Oreochromis niloticus: one gene and its partners. The protein of the gene in region 2 purifies or fractionates together with the protein of the main gene of each other region. This does not show direct contact. Links are inferred from orthologs where the notes say so. Each region holds a gene or a part of one and is shown on either strand. Other genes may lie near its edges.

Region 1 (7,841 bases), on a different chromosome or scaffold from region 2:
ATCTCCGAATCAGAAACCTCACCCAGCAGCTTTTATTTAAACCAGCCACAAACTATAAAAATATGTACAGCACCACAATTTGCCTCAAACGTACGTGTACTGTGGCGCTCCGGTTTTTATGTCTCCAATCGTGACACGGACATCATCGTCGTCATCGTCACTGTCGCTGTCGCTCTCCACATCCTCGCCTGCAGCCTCACCTGTGGCCTGAAAATCCAGAAACAAAAACAACACAAGAAACATTCAGTGAGTTGAATCTAGGTTCGTAATAAAAACAAACAAAAATTATTGAAACTGTGCATGTAAGCTACACACCTCAGAGGCAACTCCATTTCCTGTAGCGTGCGCAGCAGCATCATCTGTTGAAGCATCAGCAGGGGCACTACAGATATGAAAACATTAGACACAACAGACCAAATATAAAATTTCTTCTCAGTCCAAAGTTTCTGGGTCCAAAATCTCACAAAGTTTTTTCACCTTGGTGGAGATCTGGTGACTGTGAAGGCCACAACATCTGATTTACATCATTTTCATACTCTTTAAACTATTCAGTCATCAGAGCACTGACATCCTAACAGAGGCCATTCTAATAAGGAAGGAAAATTTAATCAAAGGATAAAGGGGATCTTTTAGAAACACTATATTTACTTGCAGTGACCCTTATCTTAAAGAGAACAAGTATTAAAAAAACAAAACATGCCACCAAAATGTCACTTAAAACATAAAGCTGCCACAGCATGACCTCACTGTAGAGGTCAAGGTGTTACATTTTTCCTTTAATCTATCTGTATGTAAAACACTAGGAGAAAATTATGTTTCAAAAGACTATTAGTTTGTTTTTAAGTCTCCTTTAGTAACTTTTAATTAAACTAGATATTTACACGTACTCATGTGACCTGCTGACTTTTTTTGTTTTGGTTTTTTTTTTAAATATGTTTAACCACTTTTGTTATTCAAATTTAAGCACATAATGTAACTGTAAGATGTCTGTATGTTAGGTGGAGCCCAGGTGATGATATATTAGTAAGCCAAAATTATTTTTGGTCTGTCACAGATATGTTAGATGAATCTGTCTAAGGCTGGGGATAATTTAATAACGGTGTCATTATAAAGCATTCACTATGAGCCAGAGGTACCTTTACTAAACAAGATTAGATTATATTACACTAATTTTATTCTTTGTGCTGCTGCTGTAACAGAGTTTCCCCCGTAGGATCAATGAATCTATGACAGCAGCAATAGTGTCATCAGCATCTGCAGCACATGTGGATGAGTATAAATGAAGAGATGAGGTGTACAGTTAACGACTGACAAACAACATCCTCATAATTTTCTCTTTTCAATAATATTCTAACATACTAGATGTAAAGCAATCTAATCAGTCAATCACATAGCAGTAAATGCATCTCGCATGTGATTTTAGTTTGGATGGATCAGCATGACATGGCTGATTTCAGAAATCCACTGGGATTTTCCCATACAACCATTTCTAGGGTTTACAGAGAATGGGCTTGGGAAAATAAGGAAAGAAAAACTATCCAGTTCTCTCAGTGCCAAAGGTCAAAGGTAAATGGTCGGGTTGATTCAAGCTGAGGACGGCAGCAGTAGATCATATAACCAAATAACCAACCAAAGAATTGATTTCTGCTGCAACATTCAGATGGTACGCACGAATATCATGACAGCATTGACAAATCCTGCCTTGTAGCTGCCGCTTAGCGTTGTTAGTGATGTAATGGAGTGGGAGATATTTTCAGTTTGGCTCCCATAACACCAACTGAGCATTATTTAAACACCATATCCTACCTGAATATTGGTAGGTTCTCAGGTAGGATACAGCCTACCTATATCTCATCAGATTCTCATGGATGTACAGCGATTCATCAGTAGCAACTGTGTGATGTCATGACGTCAACATGGACCAAAATCTCAGATGAATGCATCCATCACTTTGCTGAATCTATGCCACAAAGGATTAAAGCAGTTCTGACAGCAAAAGGCGGCCCAACCCAGTTACTTGCAAGGTGCAGCTAATAAAGTGACCTCTGCGTGTGTATTAATAGTGCCTTTTATCCGTTCCCAGGGATACAGCATCAGCTGAAATCCACCTCAATAAATCTAAAAATTATTAGAAATTGAAATACTTCTAGAGTTCGTGAGAAGATTTTCTGATAGCTGTACTGAACTATATTACCTTTGCTAGTTACTCTGCCAACGCTCGTTGACCCTGAAATGTGGTACACACAGAGGGTTTTTTGTTTTTTTAAATCCAGGCTAGGACTGAATTATAGTTACCTGACAGCAGCGTTCAGCTTGGCTTCTTCATCCTCGTCTTTGCTCTCTGACTCATCTGGAACAGAAATTAAAAGCAACTGAGTTCATTTATCGTTATCTAATATATATTTAACTGAAGTTGTTGTTTTTTTTAACTAACAAGGTGAGCTGCAGAAAATACATACGCCACTTCATAGTCCAGTTAAACGTTATAACAAGCCAGAGTAATACTCAAATGATTTGACTCGAGCGGTGCAGCCACAACAGGCCGACCAAAATCCCGCTGCTAGCTTAGCTTCCAGGCTAACGCTCGTGATTAACGGGATAGCGCACAGTGATATCTGTTGTTAGCAGTTAATTAGGAACATAGCGAGAGACATCGTGTTCCACGTCTCTGTCTGTTCGAAGGAACCGTTTCTGTGGACGTCAGGTGGTTGTTTTTACCTCCATACAGCCATTCCTCCTCCTCGTCTCCGGCGCTGGCATCAGTGGTGGCTGTTTTGTCCGCTTCCTCCGCAGACATGTTAAACTTACACGGAGAGCTAAACCAGCAGCGGCTTCAACAACTACAAGCTTCAATAAAGCTCACAGGTGCAAAAATAACAGTAAAACTTCTCCCTTTATCGTGGAAACGTGGTTATGTACATAAATTATGTCTTCATAGGTTCATTTCCAACCTTTGCGAGTCGGAGTGAACCCGGAAGAGATTGGTGGCATCCCGCTAATGTCAAGGGTGATGGGAGAAAACACAGCGCCCCCAGCGGGCAAACTAACGGCTCCTTTTTTATGTCGCGTTTTTTTTTTAACACGACAGTGAAAGAATTAAATAAAACGTTATTTTGTGCTGTGACAATTAGTTAGATTGTTTTTTCAAAGTAACCACCCAAATACATGCCCGAAAGTGCTTCTTCACTCTCTTTTCCAGCTCTGCTTTTCTTCTAGGAGAAAGTGAAACTTTGCTACAAACTTTATTACTCAGTACAACCTGAAGGGCATTTAAAGCTCTTCTGCTGCCTTTTTGTTCTGTTATCTGTGAAGATGATCCCACACTGCTTTAATGATGTTGAGGTTTGGGTTCTGGGGAGGCCAATCCATGACTGATGGTGATCCTTCTGTGTTTTTGAATCCAGGTATACTGTTAGTGCATTGGCACTGTACTTGGGATCATCGTTATTATGAGAAATGAAGCCGATGCCAGTCAGACAGACAGAGCCTCCATCATGTTTTATGGTTGGCCCTAGAGACTCACTGTTGTACCTCTCTCCTGACCTCCTCTGTACATAGTGACAATTCGAATCAAAATTTTCAAATCTGGATTCATCACTCCAAGATCTGTTGGCACTCATTTTCAGACCAGCCCTCATGTAATCTGGCATACCTTGGCCTTTTGTCCCTGTTTCTCTTCCCTTCCTTCACTAAGAAAGGCTTCTTGCTATCCGCCCTTCCACTGAGAACATTTCTGAAGAGGCCAGATGCAACCCTCAGCTCCTGGGTCAGGTCTTTGTGGGATTTTCTTCTATTTCTTAAGGACATGGCATTCAGATACTGTTTATCTGCTGTAGAGAGTTTTTTAGGCCTTCCACTTATTATTTTTTTACTGTTCTATTCCAGTTTCCTCAAATGGTTTTAATGGATACCCTGCACATATCCATTATCCATATCCGTATGTCAAGTTTTTCGCTCTGGAGTCTAGACTCTCGTGGTGGTGAAGATAAGATGGAGGCTTGGATGAGTGGTTTGCATGAGGTGGAGTTGGGGAGGAGGTGGGTTGCATGAAGGAATCTGCAAGGAAGAATGAAAGATGGCCAGTGCGATGTAAAGTACGTAGAGTGGAAGCTGATTGGCAGAAAGATGACTGGACTAGAGCAATTATGTCAGCACTGAGTTTTGCAGCGTGGGAAAATGGAAGTGATGTAAAGAACAGACTGACAGCCAAACCCTGGTAGGAAATTTTCTCATATTCCTATCTCCACATGCATTGGGAAAAATGATGCCCCTCAGGGCCTCAGCACATGCGAAGCATAGCAGGGCAGGATAAGCACATGTCCAGATGATTAAAAAAAAACACTGTGTACTCCATTTAGCTGAGTGAGTTTCAAGCTCCTTGTCCTGCACGAAGGCTCAGTGTCACGTCTTACCATGGTGCTTTCATCGTTCATTAAATTAGCTCCCCCTGCACTTATGCTGTAAATGATCAAAGTGCCTGATCTGTTTAAGAAAGTTGTGTCTGAGTCTGAAGGCAGTACAGCCAGTGGCCTGGGGCACACACTGTACCTCATGTAAAAGGCCATGTAGACGCTTCAGCCTTCTATTTGTTTGCATTTCCGCCTGGTAAATTGACATAAATAAATCTACTTTTGTTTTTAGTATATCATGGGATGCCACACTTAAGATAGTCTAATGTGTTTTCAGCTGAACTATTTAGTCCTTCGAAATGTTTTGATGGTTCTCATAATCTGTCTATTCTGGACAGTAAGCATTTCCCTGCCTCTAGTTGGCTTTGATAGAAATGAAACTTCACTGGACAAGGTAATCATAAAAAACCAAAACACAAAGAAGTTGTGAGGGCAGAATTGCAGGTTTTCCAAGGACAATGCAAGTTTTACAGCTAAGCCATCTCTGGAAAAGCAGTAGAAGCAACTAAGTACATTTCCTTATGCAGGCTACTTCAATAAAGCACAATTTTAAGGTTGTTATTTCCTAGTTTTTGACTATTTTATCTGTATTCTTTATTTTTTTGGGTTATAGCAAGTAAGTTGTTACTAATGCAAATTATAAGCAATAAATAAATGATGTTAAACAATGTTATGTGTAAGCCAGAGGTTGTGAAAACAAAAGAGCTCTTCACCAAAGCCAATGTACTATATTGTAATTTTAAGAAAAGTAATCCAGATTCACAACAAAATTTATTGAGGTATTTCTCTGGTCGCTATCCACTTCTCCACCAGGTTTCATGAAGTTCAGCTCGATGGTTTTCGTGTAATCTTGCCGACAAACAAACGAATGCCACTAGAGACATACCTCCGCATCAGCTCCTGCCTTAGAAAAGGAATAAAGACTTAAACTTTGCCTCTCTCAAAGAGCTTTTATAAGTTTATAACCTCAAGAAGCAGCTGCAGACTCATCAGCAGCGAAATGACTTCTCATGATTGCTGTTGTGGTTGTTTGCACAAGAAGTTGCCTGCTAATGCAAAGAAAACTCTTAATGCATTTATGGCCTCTGACCAGTTAAGTGGAGCCACTTTAGCTTTGTCAGTAAAGGACAAGGAAATCTGTGGATTCTCTCACTCTCCCTCAGTTTTTACAGTGGAAATTACACAGAGGCGTGGCCTGAGTTCTGACGCTCACTGGTTTATCTGAGGCTGAAATGAAATTAATTTTTATGTAGTGCGTGCTCTCTCTCACAGGGAGAGTGAAAAATGGGATGGTAACACTATAGTTGTGATTATATTGATTTTTTTCCCCCCCATACCGTATGTGAGAACCACACAGGGGTTCATATCACGGGAATCTACTGTATCACATCATATGTGTGAGCTTTTGTGCGGCTCCCCCAAGTTTACGGTGTATTCACACACACACCACACAAACACACACACACACACGTACAGGGACTAATGGTCTCAAACTTAAACTGATCATGGAAATTGCATTTATTTCATTCACTCTCTCTCCCTCTCACGCGTCTCTCTTCCAGTCTGTTACTCCTCTGTGTTTTCTGATCACATTCCCTCCCTTTGTTTTCTTTATACCCCCACCTGCTTTTCATGCTCTTTTCTCCCTTTTCTCTTTTCCTTTCCATGTACTCAAGAGCTATTTAAAGTCAAATTTACTTAACTGAGATGATCGTAATTGGATAAAGTCTTGCAAAGCATCTTTTGAGACAAAAAGACAACAAAGCAGCATTTAAAGTAGAAAAGCACATCCTCCCCGAGGTTCAGTGCCAGAGTCCTGTTTCTTGAGAGAAACGACACAGATCTAAGAGTTCCTCTGTCATTCCCACCTGTCCATCCGTTCATTGAATTTTGCTTAGTAGTTTTTGTGTAATCTTGCTGATAGACAGTGTTAATCACTTACCACCAACTTAATTCTCACCTTGCCACTCTCAAGGTAAACCCTGCTTCAGCATTTACAGGTGCCATCAAAGACCTGGGCCTTTTTTTCTTACAGACTTACAAACTTATTTTGGTAACTGGGCATGGATCTCCGTGTTTTTCTGCTTAAGTAGCTGCCCCTGTGACCCGATAAACTTACAAACTGGACTTTATTATGCAGCCAGAGGAGGAGGAGTCAGCACTCAGGCACTTTGCATTTCATCTTTTATCCACAGTCTGTGCATACAACAACCATGCACAGAGATCTGCAGAATATAATGAGAATGAAAGGAAAAAAAACCACATTTGTCAAACAGAGCAGGAACGTGATTTAAAATAAAATGTGGTTGAACTCTTGGATGCAGTGGCAAAGGTCAAAACCACAGTGGAAGGAGATAAAAGCGGTTTGGAGGGAGTTCAGTTTGCTGTGTTGTTGCCTGTGTTTTTCCTGCGGGCAGTGATCTGCTTTGACACACTGTGCAGCTTCTCTTCGCCTGTTTTTCCCTGACGATTCCTCTGCCTTCTCTCTCCTCTCTCTCTCTGTCTTGTTCCTGTCTGCTTTTCATCCTCTTGCACCTTGTTTATCCTTATTTCCCTTTCTCCCCTTCACCCTATGTGCCACCCTGTCTCTCTCTGAGTTTCCTCCCTCCCTGCATCCATCCCTCTCTCCTTACGGTGGATTAGAGAGGCTTACAGCCTAGTCGATCCTAATCGGGTTTATCCAAGCAGAGGGCGATCGTTGGGCTATCAGTAATTACACACGCTGATATTAGCTTCCCCTGATATGCACCCTGGCACATTTTCAATCCACATCATCTCTTTGGATCAAACAAATGGTTATATCAACGGTATGATGCAATGACAGCTTAACGTGGCATTTTCTCCTTCTTTGTTTTGCAATACAAAGATCCATCTGTTCTTTAATTACGGACATTTCATTCAAGCTAAGGCCTTACAAAATAAAAGATCTGAGTTTGTTTTAAACTGTTTTAATGTGAAAATTCAGAATATAAAACTTGTGTTTTCTCTGCTGTTGTTTCAAGCAAAAGTTCGACATTTTAGGGTTTTTCATCTATTGGAAAAAGATGAAAAGATCTCTTTCAGTTTCATGTGTGTTTGTTAAATATGAAGCTCCAGACAGCAGGCAGTTAGCTTAACTTAGCACAAACACTAGAAACAAGGAAACAGAAAGCCTGACTCGTGTGAGCTTTCTGTATTGTAGGTTTCAGCTTATTTACAAATCAATTAAAATGCAAATACTAGTATGCTAATATATAAAATAGTTATGAAATGGCACTTTCGAAAAGCTATCATCAGCTTATAAACAAGGACCCAAACACACCAAATAAATATATAATATTCGACATACGTAATCATACCAATAATATCCTAAAATTAACTCAAGGATCCTAACATAGAAATAACACTAATCCAATACATCCAGACTGTGGCACATAAATACAGTAGTATAAA
Region 2 (7,910 bases):
GCATAAACAGGGAATAACACCTGACCTCTGATGTTCTGCAAATAAAACACACCTTTCAAATTGACAATCTGAGAGTACTTCAGCTGCTGGATCTTATCAAAAGCAGCATCCACATCATCAAGAGTGAACAGTGTAAAATCTTCACTGTTGTTTCGGGACTACATGGAAAGAAAGAGAGAATTTAATACAGCAATGGTAATCAAGCCAAAAAGACCCTCTGTTAATTAAATCATGCATTACCCACATCCCCTTCTTACCTGATACAGATCGTACATGAACATCTGCCCCATCTTGTAGACAGGAATCGTGGCATAGATAGTACAGTTCAGCCCCAGTTTGCCCACAGCGTATGGCAGGGCTCCCAAGTGTATGGGGTCGGGATGGGAGAGCAGCACAGCGTCGACCTGATGAACATGTCTGGAGAGGGGAAAAAAGAGCATTGCAGCAGGTTCAAGTCCCAGAAAAGTGGAGTAGTTTAATTCAAATCTTTATTCAATCGCACAGTCTCGTCTCACAAGATCAAAATTTGTTCTTTAAAGGAGAACAATACGCATTCACAAGGAGTCCAGACAGATAATAAAGCTTTACATTTTACAAGGGTAATATAGGCTTCTAGTGGCCTCTACTTTGAGGACAGTTTGCGATTCATTCAAGATTAGAAGGTGCACAGTTCCAGAAACAAAGCCAACTAACATGTGCACATGGGAAATATTTAAAGTTGTGTTTAATGTTTTCCCCCTCAACAAAGATGACATTTCATGAACTGCCCTGTACCCTTAATGATGAGTTTTGACACCTCATTACATATCAATAAAGACGTGACAACCATTGACATAGTTTTTGGGGTTTTTCCAAGGGTAACTGAATAGGCAGAGACCACCCTCACCAATTTCTGATACAAACCCAGTCATCTTGCTCTATAAGCAAGAAAAGAGCTTCAAGGGTTACTTCTGATACTCTTGGTGTTAAGATAGCTATTCAAATTGTGTAAAAATCACTTTGGAGGTTTCCTGACTTTGCACTAAAATAAGAATTTAAAAAACATTTTTTTCCCTGGAAGTTACAATTCAACCACTGTCTCTGAAATCTCTGTAGCTGTAGTTATTAGATGTGAGAAAAGAAGAGATTTTAGGTAGTTTGGAAGCCTCAAAAGTAGAGCTGTCCCTTTTATTCTCGACTCTATAGATGTTCATCCAACTGATACAGTTAGAAACGATGAGTATGAAATTTCTCATTGGTGATAAAGTACTATAATAGACAGGGTTTTATATATATGTTGAGAGGGCGAGAGAGAGAAGACTACCAAAGGCAAGGACAGACATGAAGGTGAATGTGCAATAATGGCATAGTTAGAAGACGACAGACATCCTTTAATTCTGCACTCTTGCACTACATAGCTAAGAATGATTCACATTCACAGGCAGAGATGAAGAACACAACTATTATGTGAATAAAAAGCTCTAGGTGGAAAGCATAATAAAAACCAAACTGCATCATTAATAATTCCCACTCTTCTTCTTTCCACTGTCCTCATCGTACATCATCTGCTTCCATCTCACCCTATCTCTAGCATCCTCCTCTGTCACACAAGCCCTCTTTCACTACATCCGTAACTCGTCTCAGTGGTCTTATTCTCCTGCTTGGCTACTCCATATTTAACATTCTTTGTCCAACATATTCACAACAACATCATCTCAGCCATACTTCTTTAAATTTGGTCTCCAAACCGCTCAACCTGAACTTTCCTTCTGATCTAATTCTTTCTCCCAGTGAAAATCTTAACATCTACAAAATTGCCATTAGAGTATGAATTAGGATAATTCATGTTGTATATATGTATAGGAAACAGCAATAGAATTAGAAGACATACATTTGTCCATGCTAATGAAAGCATAAAGAAGCAAAGGACTAAGTTTGGAAATCTCTCCATATATGTTGAACCATCTCCTTGCGCCTGATATTCTTCTACTACAAGATGAGACAGAAAAAGTACAAATTTAACATAAGTGAGGTAAGTTGGGGGTCTGATGTTAAGAAATTCTTGGGAGATGACCCTCAGACTACAAGACTACAAAACCTACACCCATCGTCTAATGACGGCCAGTAGTAGTAGTAGTATTATAAACTTTCTTTTATGGCAATAAAAGGTCGGCACAAGCTTTCTTTCCCCTACTTCGGGGTGGGGAGGTCAGTCATCAATAAACCAGACTGCTGTGGGTGTACTGTGTTTAGTGAGTTCATAAAGGCACATTTACTTTTTGCTAAGAGTTTTTTAAATTAGAAACATCAACTCTTTTTGAAAGACTGGCGGTATACCGACCTCTTCATAACATCTATGATTTCCATGGAGAAGTTCTCATCCCAGCCGCAGTCCAAGAGGAAGCGGAATTCATCCACCTGCAGCAGGTAACAAAGGGCAGTCTCCTCCTGAACCCCTGACACGGCTGTTAGCTTGATAATGGACGTCATGGTTCTTCAGTTGTCGCGCTGAAATATAAGAATTGTGCTTGCATGTTATACTCACCACGAAACCTTTCCCACTTAATCTAAGGCGCGTGGCTCTTTATGTGTGTGAGTGCGACTCTGAGAAAAGTCATTCAATTTAATCAACAAAGAAAACAAACACAACCATGGTTGGAGTTTGCCATTAAACTGTGTGTGAGGCTAACAGCGTAATGTTGCACAAGTTTAACCTGTGATGTATGCAGCTTACAGGCTGTAAGTAAATAAAATGTAAACACAGTTTTGTTGCTAGCCACAGCTAGCTCAGAGTTGTTAGCAGATTGCCCAGCAAAGTGTATTTACAGTGCTAGCTAATGAGTGTAAATGAACTAACAAAGGAGCGTGCACCATACCATTAATTGTAAAATAATGGATTAGTCTTCTGGAATAAAAAACAAACAACAATCTTTTTTTCTGTTATTCCCAAATTAAACCATTTTGGCTCGCGTTTTTGATAGCGGCAGACATATTTGCCGCTGCATCATGTGTGAAAGGGCAAAGGAGCATACCACATATGGTGGTGTCGGTACTAAATAATTCTATGTTAAAACACTACATTTAGATTTTTTTTTCGAAAGGTATCTGAACACATCACCTTTAACATCATATGTTCAGTGTTGGAACGTATCTAATATTCCACTACTTGTGCTTTGACATTAAAATTAATTATTTAAAAATATGAAACCACCACATCGTAAGTTTACAGTTGGTAGAATCCGATGTCCTTCGCTTGGTGAATGAGGAGCTGAAGGCCGCGGCTGGTGTAAACAGAAGGTATTATTTTAGATATTAATATTATATATTATATTCATTATTCTTTTTTGGTCGAGTCAGTGAATTTTAATGTGTTTATCGTACTAAAAATACAGTAACTAGTGCAGTTTAGAAATAATCCTTAACTACACCTTGAAACATATTGCTAAGGCTAACTAGCTGACAGGCTAGCTAGCCAAGTGCCTCTCTCTAGGATACCAAAAGTTTGTGATGAACGATCTGCAGACTTACTGGATATTTAGTATTCAGCTTCATATATATAGCTGTAATGTAATGCATGGCCACCATATAATAACTGAAGTGACCGTGGTCTGTTCTTTGACATAGCTTGATGTGCATTTAAGCTTTGCCTGTCAAACCTCATTGAAGTGCATAAAGAAATGTTGTAACACATTGTTAAGGTGTACACATTCTTATAATCTAAAGTAGGCGTTTAAAGACAGTTGTTGTGCTAATTGTGCAAACAAATGTCTGTCATTTTTAGTCGAGAACATTAGCTGATTTCGTTTTCTAGAAGTTTTTTGCAGGTCCTCTAAATCTGTGAACATGGGCTACCCCCGGAATACTACATGTTGCTAAAGATTACAACGTCTCTTTCAATGGTTGGGACTCGCAGCATGATCAAAATAATGATGGTGGCACGATACAGATATAGTGTTATGAAAAAGCATTCTCCCTTTCCTTTTTTGAGTATTTGTTTCAGATCAAACAAATTTTAACATTAGACAAAGATAACCCGAGTAAATGCAAAATCTAAATCTGTGTAACTAAATGGAAAAAAGTGGAATTAAAAGATGAAAGGTGTTGTTGCATTCATTATTACTTTTAATAAGTCACTTCAGTAATAAGTGATCTGATTTCCTACACTTTTAACAGTATTTCCCCTAATTTTATTTTAGTTAACTTTTACCCTTATTCATTTGAGAACCTCATTTAAAATCATGAATTAATAACTGATTTGTTTATTTAACAGTGGAATCTGTGATGCCAGTGTATCAATGGTGTATCTTAAAAGAAAGCAATAAGATATTGCTATATTAGTATTTAGCCTTTCAGATAGCTTAAACAGAGATCAGACTTTTCAGCAATAGTGGTAAATGTTCTTGTATCATTTATGCTTGTGCTTTCCTGCATCCATTTTTCTTATTATACAAATATGAATGTCCAACTGCAATCATAAGTTTAATTTGGGAGTATAAAACCCATGCTGTTTTTCCTTTTTTTAGGTAGGAACCATGGTGAACTTGGCAGCCTTTGCCCGCCAGTACTGGGCACACATATTTGTCCCCACGGGCTTTGTCATTGGATGGTACCTTGACAAGCAACAGGACCAGAAGTTGACAGCTTTCAGAAACAAGAGTGCTTTGTACGGAAGGTAAGAACAAGTGACTGTTCACCAAATAAAAACAAAACAAATCCCTCAGGTTATTCTTGAATTTAAAGACTAACTACTATGTTGAATTCATGGTGATGTTTGTCACTGTGTACACAATAGCCCATGGTCTGGAGTTATTAGTTCAGTGCATGGATATTTTCAATTTGGCAAAGTTATAAATACATGAAATCTGCAATTTCATAAAAAATCCACCTGTAAATATTTGAAACACATAAGATGACGCAGAATAATGACAATTAGTTTAATACATCCTGTGTTTGTGTTTTATCTTGTCTATTTTGGTGTATTTAGGCCAAAATATGATGCAATGCTGAATGCAATAAAGACCCCTTACAGATATGCAGGCTCAATTAATAAGCAACTGCCTTCTATATCTATGCAAATCCACTTTAATAGATTTCCATATAACACTTTTTGTTTCTAATGTAGTAATACACTTTTCCACTTTCAGCCAATAACTCCAGTAGTGATCTTCTGGTGTAAAACTGTGCTCATACATCATTCTGCGCTGTGAAAGCCAAACATCTTACAAAACTTCAAATTTTTCTTCTTTTTATAGGGAACTGAAGCCTGGAGAGGAGGTGACCTGGAGGTAGACTGCTCTCTACTTGAAAGCCTGTGTCGTGTGGTGTGAACGAATGGGTGTCCTCAAATCACAATATTTAAGAAGACTCCTGTACCTCTGTTTTTGAGTTGTATCAACCAATAATAAAGATGCCATTAATTAAAATCATTTGGTACTTGTTAATGATTCTGGTTGTACAAGACCAAAAATTATATATAAATTTTTTTTTATTTTTAGTTGAACAGCAAAATCACAAATGCATTATCCATTTCCAGTTGAGCTAATGAAGGCTACTTGGAGCAGACATGTTCTCCACTGAAGATCTTATTTTGTATAAAGTGATTTGATCTCTTCATGCAGTCACCATGGTGGAAGAATCTAGTGCTACACTGGTTCTGCAGTGTGGATAATCCCCTTCTCAAAAAGTAGTTCAGCCAAAGCAATCTGGGGAAAAAGTAAGGGGAAAAACATGAGGATCAACCACTAATGACAAACACATAACCAAATAAGTGATTTCACTGTGCAGAAACCTTGTTTATACAGGTACCCATCTAAAACACTGAAGATAAGCTGCCCCATATGAGACACCTTCCAACAACATAAAACTACACAGAGTGTGTGAAGGTAATAATTACCCTGTCCTGCGCAGATTCACATGGGAGGCTTCCTACTGTCACAAAGCCGGGATATGAATGGATCAGAAACTCGACAGCATCTGTGTACTAAGAGGAAAAACAAGTCAACCCCGTCATTAGCACAGTTTACGAGACCTGACAAACACATCTGCCAATGTTTACCTCTGGTTTTATTTCAAAACTCTTGAGCTCCTCTTTGTGGTAAACTCTAGAGTTGTCAGTGGTGTAGTAAAGATGAACGGCATCTCCGTCATTGCATAACCTGGCAGTAAAGATTTACAAGACAAATGACAATGACACTTTTCTGCTTTAATTGGTAGCCTTAACATGTAGTCAATAAAAAAATCTGTGTTACCGGGCACACTGAGCACGTAGAATTCTGATTTGAGTCTGTGTAATGATATGTACACCCACATCCTTTACTTGTCCACCTTCCCACCTCGTAGGTGCTCCTTGTACACTGGTGACCAGTTCATCTGTGGGTGATGGCATGAATTAGAATCAAAAGCAATATCGTGACATTATGCATCTCACTGAAAAAAGAAACTAATGCAACAATTACAGCTCTCTCCATCACATACCTGGAGTGAGAGCGGGAGGAAGGCAGTCATGAATGAAGTCTTTAGCCTTCTGATCAACAGCAGCATCTACTGGTGCGTAATTTGTTAGCCTCTTCATCAGATTATCAATTCGAGAGAAGAACTTTGCCCTGCGCGGGTCTTCCTACACAAGGATAAGTTTTATCTTTAGCTAGTAATTGGGAGTAAACGAAGACAACACCTGAAAAGTTGGTAAAAATCACTTCATTAAATACCTTGTCGGAATTCTGTACTCCCATGTACGTCAGGTAGTCCAGAGGTAAACCCCGTCTGAACTCCACGTCCTCCTCCATTGCTACTTCCAATGCTGCTGGGACCAGCTGAAAAAAAGAGCAGTAAATTCTGAATACCCTTTTGTAAGTTTAACTGTCTTAGGCAATCCTTAGGTTAAGAAAGAAAGGTGATGTATGAACCATCAGCAAAATACTCTCCACCAGAGATCATTAGTATCATCTGTCAGCAGGAAAGACTGCTTTGGTTATTATTCTTCACCTGCAATGCAAAACCACTTCATGCTGGATGCAAGATTTATACCCTTCTGCTAACTACTGGCACACGTTTCAGAGTTCGGCCGTTGTCTTCATCTGCATGCACCACAGGGGGAAACAGGGAGGGTTTTCTACCTTTTGCAGCAGATCTCCCCAGCTGTTCTTCTGGTAAGAGGAGATGGTGATGTGCAGAGAGTGTGCGTCTGGTAGGCAGTTGCCTTGATGGATAAAACCTCGAGGGAAGTAGATGAGATCTCCGGCTTCTACCACCACATCTAGGATCGGCTTACCAATGTCTGCCTGGTCGAAGTTTGCTGAAGAGAAATCACAAAGCAGACACCTCTGAGAAATCTATGCCAGCATTAATTATATTTATTTATAATTCTGTTTTTCAAGCAAGAGAGGCTATTTTATTTCCACAAATCAGTAATTTATCATTTGTAAGTGACACCACAAGACATGAAATATTTCTTTTTCTGCCCTCCTTCATCAAACCCACTCCACCATCATTCTCTTACTTTTAATTACAAGTGCTTTTTACAAAGTACCCATTCCCCTGCTGCCCCAGGATCCCACGAGGTTCAGACCCAGAGGCATCAAATAATTATGCTAACAAAACGCAACCGTTAAAAACTACTAAGAGGATTAGTTGTTGTTGTTTTTTTTACTCACGACTCGAAAGCACAGGCAAGACCTCATCGTCTGATCTAAAAGAAAAGGAAAAAAAGAGAAAACGAAAGAGTAAAAAAAAAAAATATATATATAAAAATACCAGATATAGCAAAAATTAAACAAATTAAAACCCACATATGCAAATTGACTTTATTATTGTTTTAATTCGTCTGAAGGTTCAATAAACACCCCAGTTTCACAAAAATGAGAATTTTCTGGCAATTATTTTATGGTTCAGGCTTCACTGGGTTCAATCAACACTGATTTGGATGCTTAAGT
Region 3 (7,613 bases), on a different chromosome or scaffold from region 2:
CTGCATTTCTGACACAGCTTTGGAGCGCACCAACCACTGAGACGAGAAAAGATAAAGGAAGTGAAGACGAAGTGAAGAACAGAAACGGATCGCATAAAGAAAGAAAAGGTAGAAATGAAGCCGGTATATCTGACTCTTTGTACCTGAAGTGTGACTTTGTACAGCTGGGTGAGGGTGAGGATGGCTTTCTTCACCACATTCACACTTTCATCCTTCAGCAACATGTTCAGGTTGGCGATGAGTCTGAGGAGGAGCTCGTTGTCTCTTTTACTGAAAGCAGATAATAAAACAGTAAAAAAATCTCAAATGCTGACCCTGACTTAAAAAACAAACAAACAAAACAACAGCAGGTCTGAAAACTCACCATGCCTCCTCGATGAAGCCGATCACAAACTTTTTCACTTCGATGGACTTGTCTGTCTGGAAAGCGATTATCTCCTACAGGACAAAAAAAAAAGTAACAAAAATGAGGCAAATTTAAATGAAACTATAGCTGGTTATGAGAGCCGAATACTTGCTTACTTACATCCAAAAAATTGTCGAGAAGAGATGGATCCTTGTTGATGATGAGTTCCTGGACCTGAAGGTTAAATACATGTACTGAATCAATGTTCTTGTGCATTCCTGGGTAAGTGGATTAGACACCAGTCTACACGGTTGCACTGAGATCTTCTGATCATTTCCAACTCTATATTGGACTCGGCTAGACTAGCTTTGCACAATTCACAGTTAAAATAATCCTTTTTTGTCTTATACTCAATCCATTGTGCAGCCCCTAAGTTCCTCCTCTCTCTGAAGCTGAAGTTGTTTTAGCCCCTCCCCCTTTAAGTCAGTTTTCTTCTGATTGGCTGCCCCTCATAAATAGACTATCTCAGCTGCAGATATGGGTGAGACTTCAACACCATGCTCTGGCACCTTAGTAGTGTATAGTTAAACTTGTTTACAGTGAAATAAACAGGAACATTTTTTTCATGTAGGTTGCAGGACAATAGTTTTACTGGTCTGGTACTCTTAAAAACAAACTGGGCTCTAAAACAAGTTTGACACTCCTGGTTTATAGCCGTCTGAAGCCTTCTGGCTCACAGGGATTACCTGCACATACACAACCTCATTAGTGGAAATTTTGTACATGTTTAATATGAATATCCATTGCTGGAAAACATGTATGGGACAGAAAATCAGGAAATCCAGAATGGCTCCACTTTAGAGTTTATAATCATATATGTTTAGCAAAAATATCACACATGTGACTTTCTGCCAGCAGCCTCGTGTAGGTTAAAAAAAAGCTTTTTGATGGTAGATCCAAAAAGATATGCTGACAGTAAAAAGTTTGTTTAAGCCTGCAAGTCCAAGTCATCATCTACAATAACTCAAACTGCCTTCAGCTGCACCTTTTAGGGATCCTCCAGCTCATCCTATTCCTGCATCCTACTCTGTCACATCTCTTTACAACATCCTACCTGTACATTTACCTGTACCTTTTAGGATCGTTTTAAAAGTTCTTTTATTTGTTTCTAAATATCTTAATGGCCTGGCCCCTCCTACCTCTTGGAGCTACTACAACCATATACACCTGCCCATTCCCTTAGGTCCGCCAATCAGCACCTCCTTAAGGTACCAAAAACTAAGTATAAATTTAGAGGTGATTGTGCTTTTGCTGTAGCGGCTGCAAAGTTGTGGAAGGATCTGCCCTTGCACGTTGGGCAGGCCTCTTCTCTTTCTGAGTTTAAAACTCTTCTTAAAACACATTTATTTGCTGAAGCTTTTGGCAATCTTTAAGGGGTTGACTCAATTTGTTTTAACATGTTTTATTTTATTTTATTTATTTTATCTTATTTTATTTTACTTATGCTATTTGGCATTTTTTCTCCTGCCTGGCAGCTCCATCTTCAACATCTTTTGTCCTGTATATCCACTATTGTTCCTCTGCAAATGTCCAAATCATTTCAGCCTTGCTTCTATTTGTCTCCAAACTGATTAACCTGAGCTGTCCCTCTCTCTGACGAACTCATTTCTAACCTTGTCCTTTCTGGTCACTCCCAGTGACAATCTGAGCATCTTTCGATTCTCCACCTTTCTCCACAGCCTGTGGTTAGGGTTGTGCTCAGTCTTTTGTATCACAGAGTTAAAAAGTCTAAGCTACAAACCTGTTTGAGCACATTCAGCTTCTCATCTGTGGGTATCAGAGCAGCCTGATTCAGGAGCTCCACAACCTGGAAGGAGAAAGCAGACCCCCATTACATTACAGTTGATTTAATAAAGGCACAGCTGAGAGATTTTCTAATTTAATATGTTGGTATTTGTGGCTCATCTGGCTGCTCAACACTAGGACAAACCTACTGTATATGTACTTGTTGCTGCAGGTTTCAGCAAGGTAAATGTAAGACTTTTAAAGCCGTTTTTGTAAAAAGCTTTTCTGGCAAAAAAGTGGTCTATTGCCGTTGAAAATGGTCGCCATTTTTATAATCCCAACTATTGTGATTTCATCCAGTTTTTAAAGCATAAAACCCATAAATCTTCCCCTAAAATGTTTATCAGCGATCACAAAAACGGACCTTCTCGCTGGTGGTCATATCGATGACAGCGGGGGCCTCAGAGTCCCCCTCCTGTGAAGAGAAGTCCATGTTTTGGCCCTCACACTGGTGATAACATGCTCCAAAGATCTGTAAACACACGAATAATAAGGATGTTATCTGTGTTATTATACCAGAGTGCTACACGCTGTTTATTAGCCTTTAATAAGACGCTCCTGTTAGCCTTGTGCTAACGGCGGGAGCTGCTTTAACTCCTTTATGCAAACAAATGTGCAAAAGCTACTTACCGTTTAACCCTGTCTTTAATTTGTTCTTCCAACAACAATTAAATATCCCGAGTGTCAAGAACTTATAATCGCAGGAGGCGTCTTAAACTAAAGCACTAAAACTCTTCTAGCTCATAATGGACGCAGCCATGTTTGACCGAAAGAAGCGGCGTCAAACTTCTTCTTCGACTGTTGTGAATAAGCACGAGCAGAAATAACAGCGGCCACTAAAGGAGACATCTGCGCCACTACAACAACAACAGAAACCTGCTGTTCAGATAAAATTTGCATTGAAGGACTCAAAGATTCAAGGATTCAAGGATTCAAGGATTTTCATTTACGACACATTTACACAGATGAGATGAATCGGAATTAAAAGCCAACAAGAATGAGAACACAAACAAGAAACACAAACAAGAAACAAAAAAATATTTACAACGTAATTCAATATAAATAAGACAATATTAAGTATAATATAGCTGTATGTATAAATTAGTAAGAAGTATGTATAATGATTGTATTTGTATAGTGCAATGACACAAATGGTTTCTCGCGTTTGTAACCTGTGGCTGAGCAGCAGAGACTACGGAGCACCACCAGAGCTTTGTAGTCCAAATCAGCTAAAAACTAATTAAAATATTGCTTTTAAAATATTAACTAGTAACAATATTGTGATAAAAGCAAAAGTATAATGAAATTAAAGTACAAAGCAAATTACTTTTTATGGATAAAAATTACAAACTGTAAGGGAATCACTCAATAGACTTCAGATAATACTAAAACATTACTGACCCATATAAAATCAAAGAAAATGAGCAAAACGTCTTTGAAGCTCCTATTCTTTATTTGTGTTTGTAAATGATGTGTTCTCCACAGCCTGAGGTAAAATTGAATTAATTTGCTCAATTTAATTTCCAAAAAGTCATTTTCAAAGGTGAAAACACCAAGAAAATGTATGAGTTTATAAATGAAAAAACAAACATTTTCCCCCTTAAGACTTCATACCCCAGAATGCCTTGCACTGTAAGTGATGTCACCTGACAGGAGGCTGAGCTAATGTTTACAACCGCTGGGCTGGTGACACTTTTATCGCTAAAAACTGTGATTTTTGTCAGGATTTCCGGAGCGTATGGGATGATGCTTAAATAATGGCGCAAACTAAATGACGCACTCTCACATTCGGGTAAAAATATCTTATTTTACTATTGTTTCTTTTTCATTTTTCAATCAAGCCAGTTAGCGCTTAGAATGCTAATAGGTAAACAAGCAGCTAAACGCAGCACACCTGCGACGGCGGTACACTGAGTAAGTGGACTTCAGCCTGAGCTGTGGGCAATGAACTGGAGTAGATGTCACGATAAGTTATAAAGTAAAGCGTCGGGACACCTGTCGACCTCCAGACTGTCAGAATTTAACAGGTAATAAATTAGCTAGCTTAAAAGCCGTGAGTGCCTAGCTTTGAGGAGGTCGTGTTTTCAGCAGCTTACCTGTTCGTACCTTAAAGAGTTACTGCAACGCTCTCTGGATGTACTGCGCGTAGCTAGCTGGAAGATAGTTGGATTTAAAGCTCGGGTAAGTGAAGGTGTACGCATGTCTTTCATTAGTAGTCGTTTAAAAGTTTTCTGAAGTGTGTTTTTTAAGTTCGGGACATGCCTTTTGACAGTTTAAAACCAAGCAGAACAAATTGTATTTACAAATAGTCTCCTACTATCTGAAAATGGAGCCACGAGCACCATTTTACCGAAATCTATCCCTCCGTTTGGTGTTTCGATGGCAGTAAAAAGTTCTGTTATAACATATGGTTCGCCTCGTTTCAACACAGGGTGGATTTTATTGATCCTATATGTGGTGAAATTCACATATGGTGGACAACAACAGGTAGAATATTAAACAAAGTCTGTGTAGGTTCTCAGTAATCTTAAATCTATCTGTTCAGTAAAGGAGACCATCACAAAGTAGCGTTGGTGGCCTGTCCACCAGCTACCTTTAAAGCAAGAGATTCTTCATTCACAACTTGTCCAGTGTGACCTAATGAGTCTCATAAAGTCAGGATGGGTCAACAACGTCCTCCAAGGTGACAGCCCCTCTAGTGGGTAAATACACAGGCCTTCCTCTCAGCTCTCTGAACTTAAGTTGCCTCTCAGATGAGACTTAAAGTGTCTTCAGAAACTTAAGTCAAGTTTCCTTCAATTTGATCACTTCAGGTTAATCAAAGTAGAGTTGCTCAGTAAAAAGAATAGAATATGTGAAAGAAAATAACTCTGAGGTCAAAATTAGTAGTTAGATCAGAAAAAGTGTTGCTAGTAAGGCTTGAGTTAGATATCTGCAGGGAGTGTTTGTAGCACCTATGATGTAACCTGTGTAATTGGCCAACGTCATTGTCGGCATTTGTGCTTGTACCAGTGGATTACGTGTTAATTACCATGTGGTCGTGTCCTGGTGTTGTACATGTCCTGCTGGTCGATAGGAACAAACAAAATGCTGGGATCTTTTTCTTTTCTGGGTCCAGCTCTTTGTTGTGGACAGGTTTTTTTTTTTTCTTTTTTTTTTTCTTCAGGCTAAATATATGTCCTTCAAGTTTTTCCAACTCTTTGAACATTCCCTGATATCTTCCAGTAGATTGAGCAGTCTCCCTCCAGGAATTTGCTGAGATTTGCGAGTCCTTATATTGATACTATGATTATTAGTCTTTATATTGAGACAATGATTGTTAAGTGGCTGGAAATGCACAAGAGTAATCAATGGCTCTGGACAGGCCGATCACAGTAGTTGTGTACTGCATTGACCTGATGTGTAGTTGCGTTTCTAAGAAGGTGCACCTCGGGTTACGTGGTAGGTTAAAAAGAGAGTTTCAGAGACAACAAATAAGTAAACTTAGATCAACTACATCTCTAACCTCAGACTAAAACACACTCACAGCAACAACAAAAACAATCAAAGAAGTAATGAAAAGTAAAGCTTGAAAAGTAAAGCATGAAAGTAAAGCTTTCATGTCACATACAGCTGCAGGTGAACTCTAAGTATTTAAGTTACAGTCTGCTGGACAACACTTCCACAGTTTAACTCCAAAGTTTAACGGATACACCGCAACATTTCATATTTTTCAAAAATTTAATTTTCTCTTAATTTGTATTTGTTATCCCTCATTTTAAAAGTGGGTAGTCGGCTGGTATTTGTCTGTCGTATGATTTGTTTCCCCACACCACCACTCAGTAACCCACATATGGAACAATAAGTAAATAATATAAACTAAGAATAATGATATTTCACAAAGTCTTTAAATTAGAAAAAAGTTAAGCATTTTAATTTTGACATGATTACTGTAAAGTAAGATGACTGCATGTTAGCACAAAGACAGTAGTGAATTGTTAAAGCTCAGTGTCTGCAGACCCCTCACAAACACCCAAAGCTCAGTGTTCTGGAGTTAACAGAGGCAGCGATGAGCATTCAGATCTGCAGCCTTTATTTCCACCGCAGCATTTTTCTGTGAGGTGTTCTTTGGGCTGGTTAACGCAACGCTCACATCCTCATCAGGAAGAGGATTTGTGTCAGAGTGCGTGGGACTGTAGCCTCAGGTTTATATTTTCCTTTTCTTCACACAGATCCATGGTCTGCTCTCTGTGCAGCGTTTAACTCTTTACCCTTTGAAAGTTGACTAGAAGCAACCCTTAAAGCTCTTTTCTGAACTGATTGGTTTGTGTCATATTTCAGACTTGCTTACAGAACAAAATAACTGGGTTTGAATCAAAAGTTAGTGAGGCTGGTCTCTGCCTGTGCAGCTACACAAACTATTCTGATGGTCGTCAAACCTCGTCTTTATTTAAATACACTCACTTGTCAAACTCATCATTAAGGGAACAGAGGTCATCAAATATAGGGGATAGAGTTAAATGTGTACTCATGGACATTTGTTGTTTTTCCTTTAATTTGTCATTCGGTGTAGATATACTTTTAAAAAACAGCACAGTAGAGTAACTCTCCTGGCTTCTAATTTTTTTTAATTTTTTTTTATTTTTTATTTTTTTTGCAGGTGTTTAACTGCGAGTCTCAACTTAAACTGGCTGAAACAAAGAATCTGAGCTGACCTTCAAAGAGACTGGCTAAAATTCAGTTTACGTATTGGCGGCGACCAGGTGGGTGTTGAAGTGGTAAAAATATAACATTACTCCTTTAAACATTTGACTGCAGGCAAACTTACAGACACTAACACACTTATTGTTTGGACGAAAGTTTTCTGAAGGTTTATTTATGTCTTGCATTGTCTGTCTAACTTCCACTTCCAGATTAAAAACCTCCACACTAGATTAGCCATGTTCAAAATTCAGGTTTTGGTTGATAGAGTGAAGTATTTCTTGGTGTGGTTTCATAACTTTTTAGATGTTTTTAGTGATTAAAATGTTGAATAGCAGCTTTTAAAACGGGTTTAGAACAGGTTCATCAGCTTTGAAGCCGAAAAAAAACTAAGGTAAATAGTTGGGAAGTATATAGTTGGTCAACCTCGGAGCTCACTGCCTGTCTTCTGATGTCGTCATCAGCGAGGCAGTTTCTGAATTTCCCCTCTCACCGTCCCGATGGAGTGGGTGTTCATCATGAACCGGATGAGCTCTCAGGGTAGCTCTGCAGCCCAGCGGAGACGGATGGCTCTGGGGGTGGTGATACTCCTGCTGGTGGATGTCATCTGGGTTGCCTCCTCCGAGCTGACCTCGGTAAGTCTGATCTCCACGCTTGTGATGTTGGAGCCAAACACTGAAAAGGCTTAATAAAACGGTGACCATGTTTAATGTGACCCATCCACCACAGAAAGCAGAAAAAG

What was found.
Region 1: the proteins of cpsf2 (region 2) and fip1l1b purify together in Homo sapiens (affinity purification with mass spectrometry; 7 studies listed by BioGRID and IntAct, with this or other methods). This does not show direct contact. The link is inferred for Oreochromis niloticus from reciprocal best matches to the Homo sapiens genes CPSF2 and FIP1L1.
Region 3: the proteins of cpsf2 (region 2) and sympk purify together in Homo sapiens (co-immunoprecipitation; 8 studies listed by BioGRID and IntAct, with this or other methods). This does not show direct contact. The link is inferred for Oreochromis niloticus from reciprocal best matches to the Homo sapiens genes CPSF2 and SYMPK.

What each region holds. Positions count from the first base shown.
Region 1 is NC_031971.2:23,839,260-23,847,100, reverse strand, and holds the start of fip1l1b (pre-mRNA 3'-end-processing factor FIP1), read right to left. Parts: upstream 3,007-7,841; 5' UTR 2,798-3,006; coding exon 2,719-2,797; intron 2,351-2,718; coding exon 2,296-2,350; intron 383-2,295; coding exon 316-382; intron 208-315; coding exon 95-207; intron 1-94.
Region 2 is NC_031980.2:14,772,213-14,780,122, forward strand, and holds the start of cpsf2 (cleavage and polyadenylation specificity factor subunit 2), read right to left. Parts: upstream 3,016-7,910; 5' UTR 2,856-3,015; intron 2,488-2,855; 5' UTR 2,470-2,487; coding exon 2,321-2,469; intron 418-2,320; coding exon 258-417; intron 159-257; coding exon 53-158; intron 1-52. Other genes in the region: riox1 (ribosomal oxygenase 1), read right to left, coding at 5,622-5,681, 5,873-5,959, 6,035-6,134, 6,228-6,348, 6,454-6,595, 6,687-6,791, 7,095-7,273, 7,632-7,666. UniProt on the Homo sapiens protein: Component of the cleavage and polyadenylation specificity factor (CPSF) complex that play a key role in pre-mRNA 3'-end formation, recognizing the AAUAAA signal sequence and interacting with poly(A) polymerase and other factors to bring about cleavage and poly(A) addition.
Region 3 is NC_031987.2:7,110,879-7,118,491, forward strand, and holds the start of sympk (symplekin), read right to left. Parts: upstream 3,007-7,613; 5' UTR 2,822-3,006; intron 2,664-2,821; 5' UTR 2,625-2,663; coding exon 2,556-2,624; intron 2,214-2,555; coding exon 2,148-2,213; intron 581-2,147; coding exon 527-580; intron 439-526; coding exon 365-438; intron 271-364; coding exon 144-270; intron 37-143; coding exon 1-36. Other genes in the region: solute carrier family 35 member F5, read left to right, coding at 7,372-7,506. UniProt on the Homo sapiens protein: Scaffold protein that functions as a component of a multimolecular complex involved in histone mRNA 3'-end processing. Specific component of the tight junction (TJ) plaque, but might not be an exclusively junctional component. May have a house-keeping rule.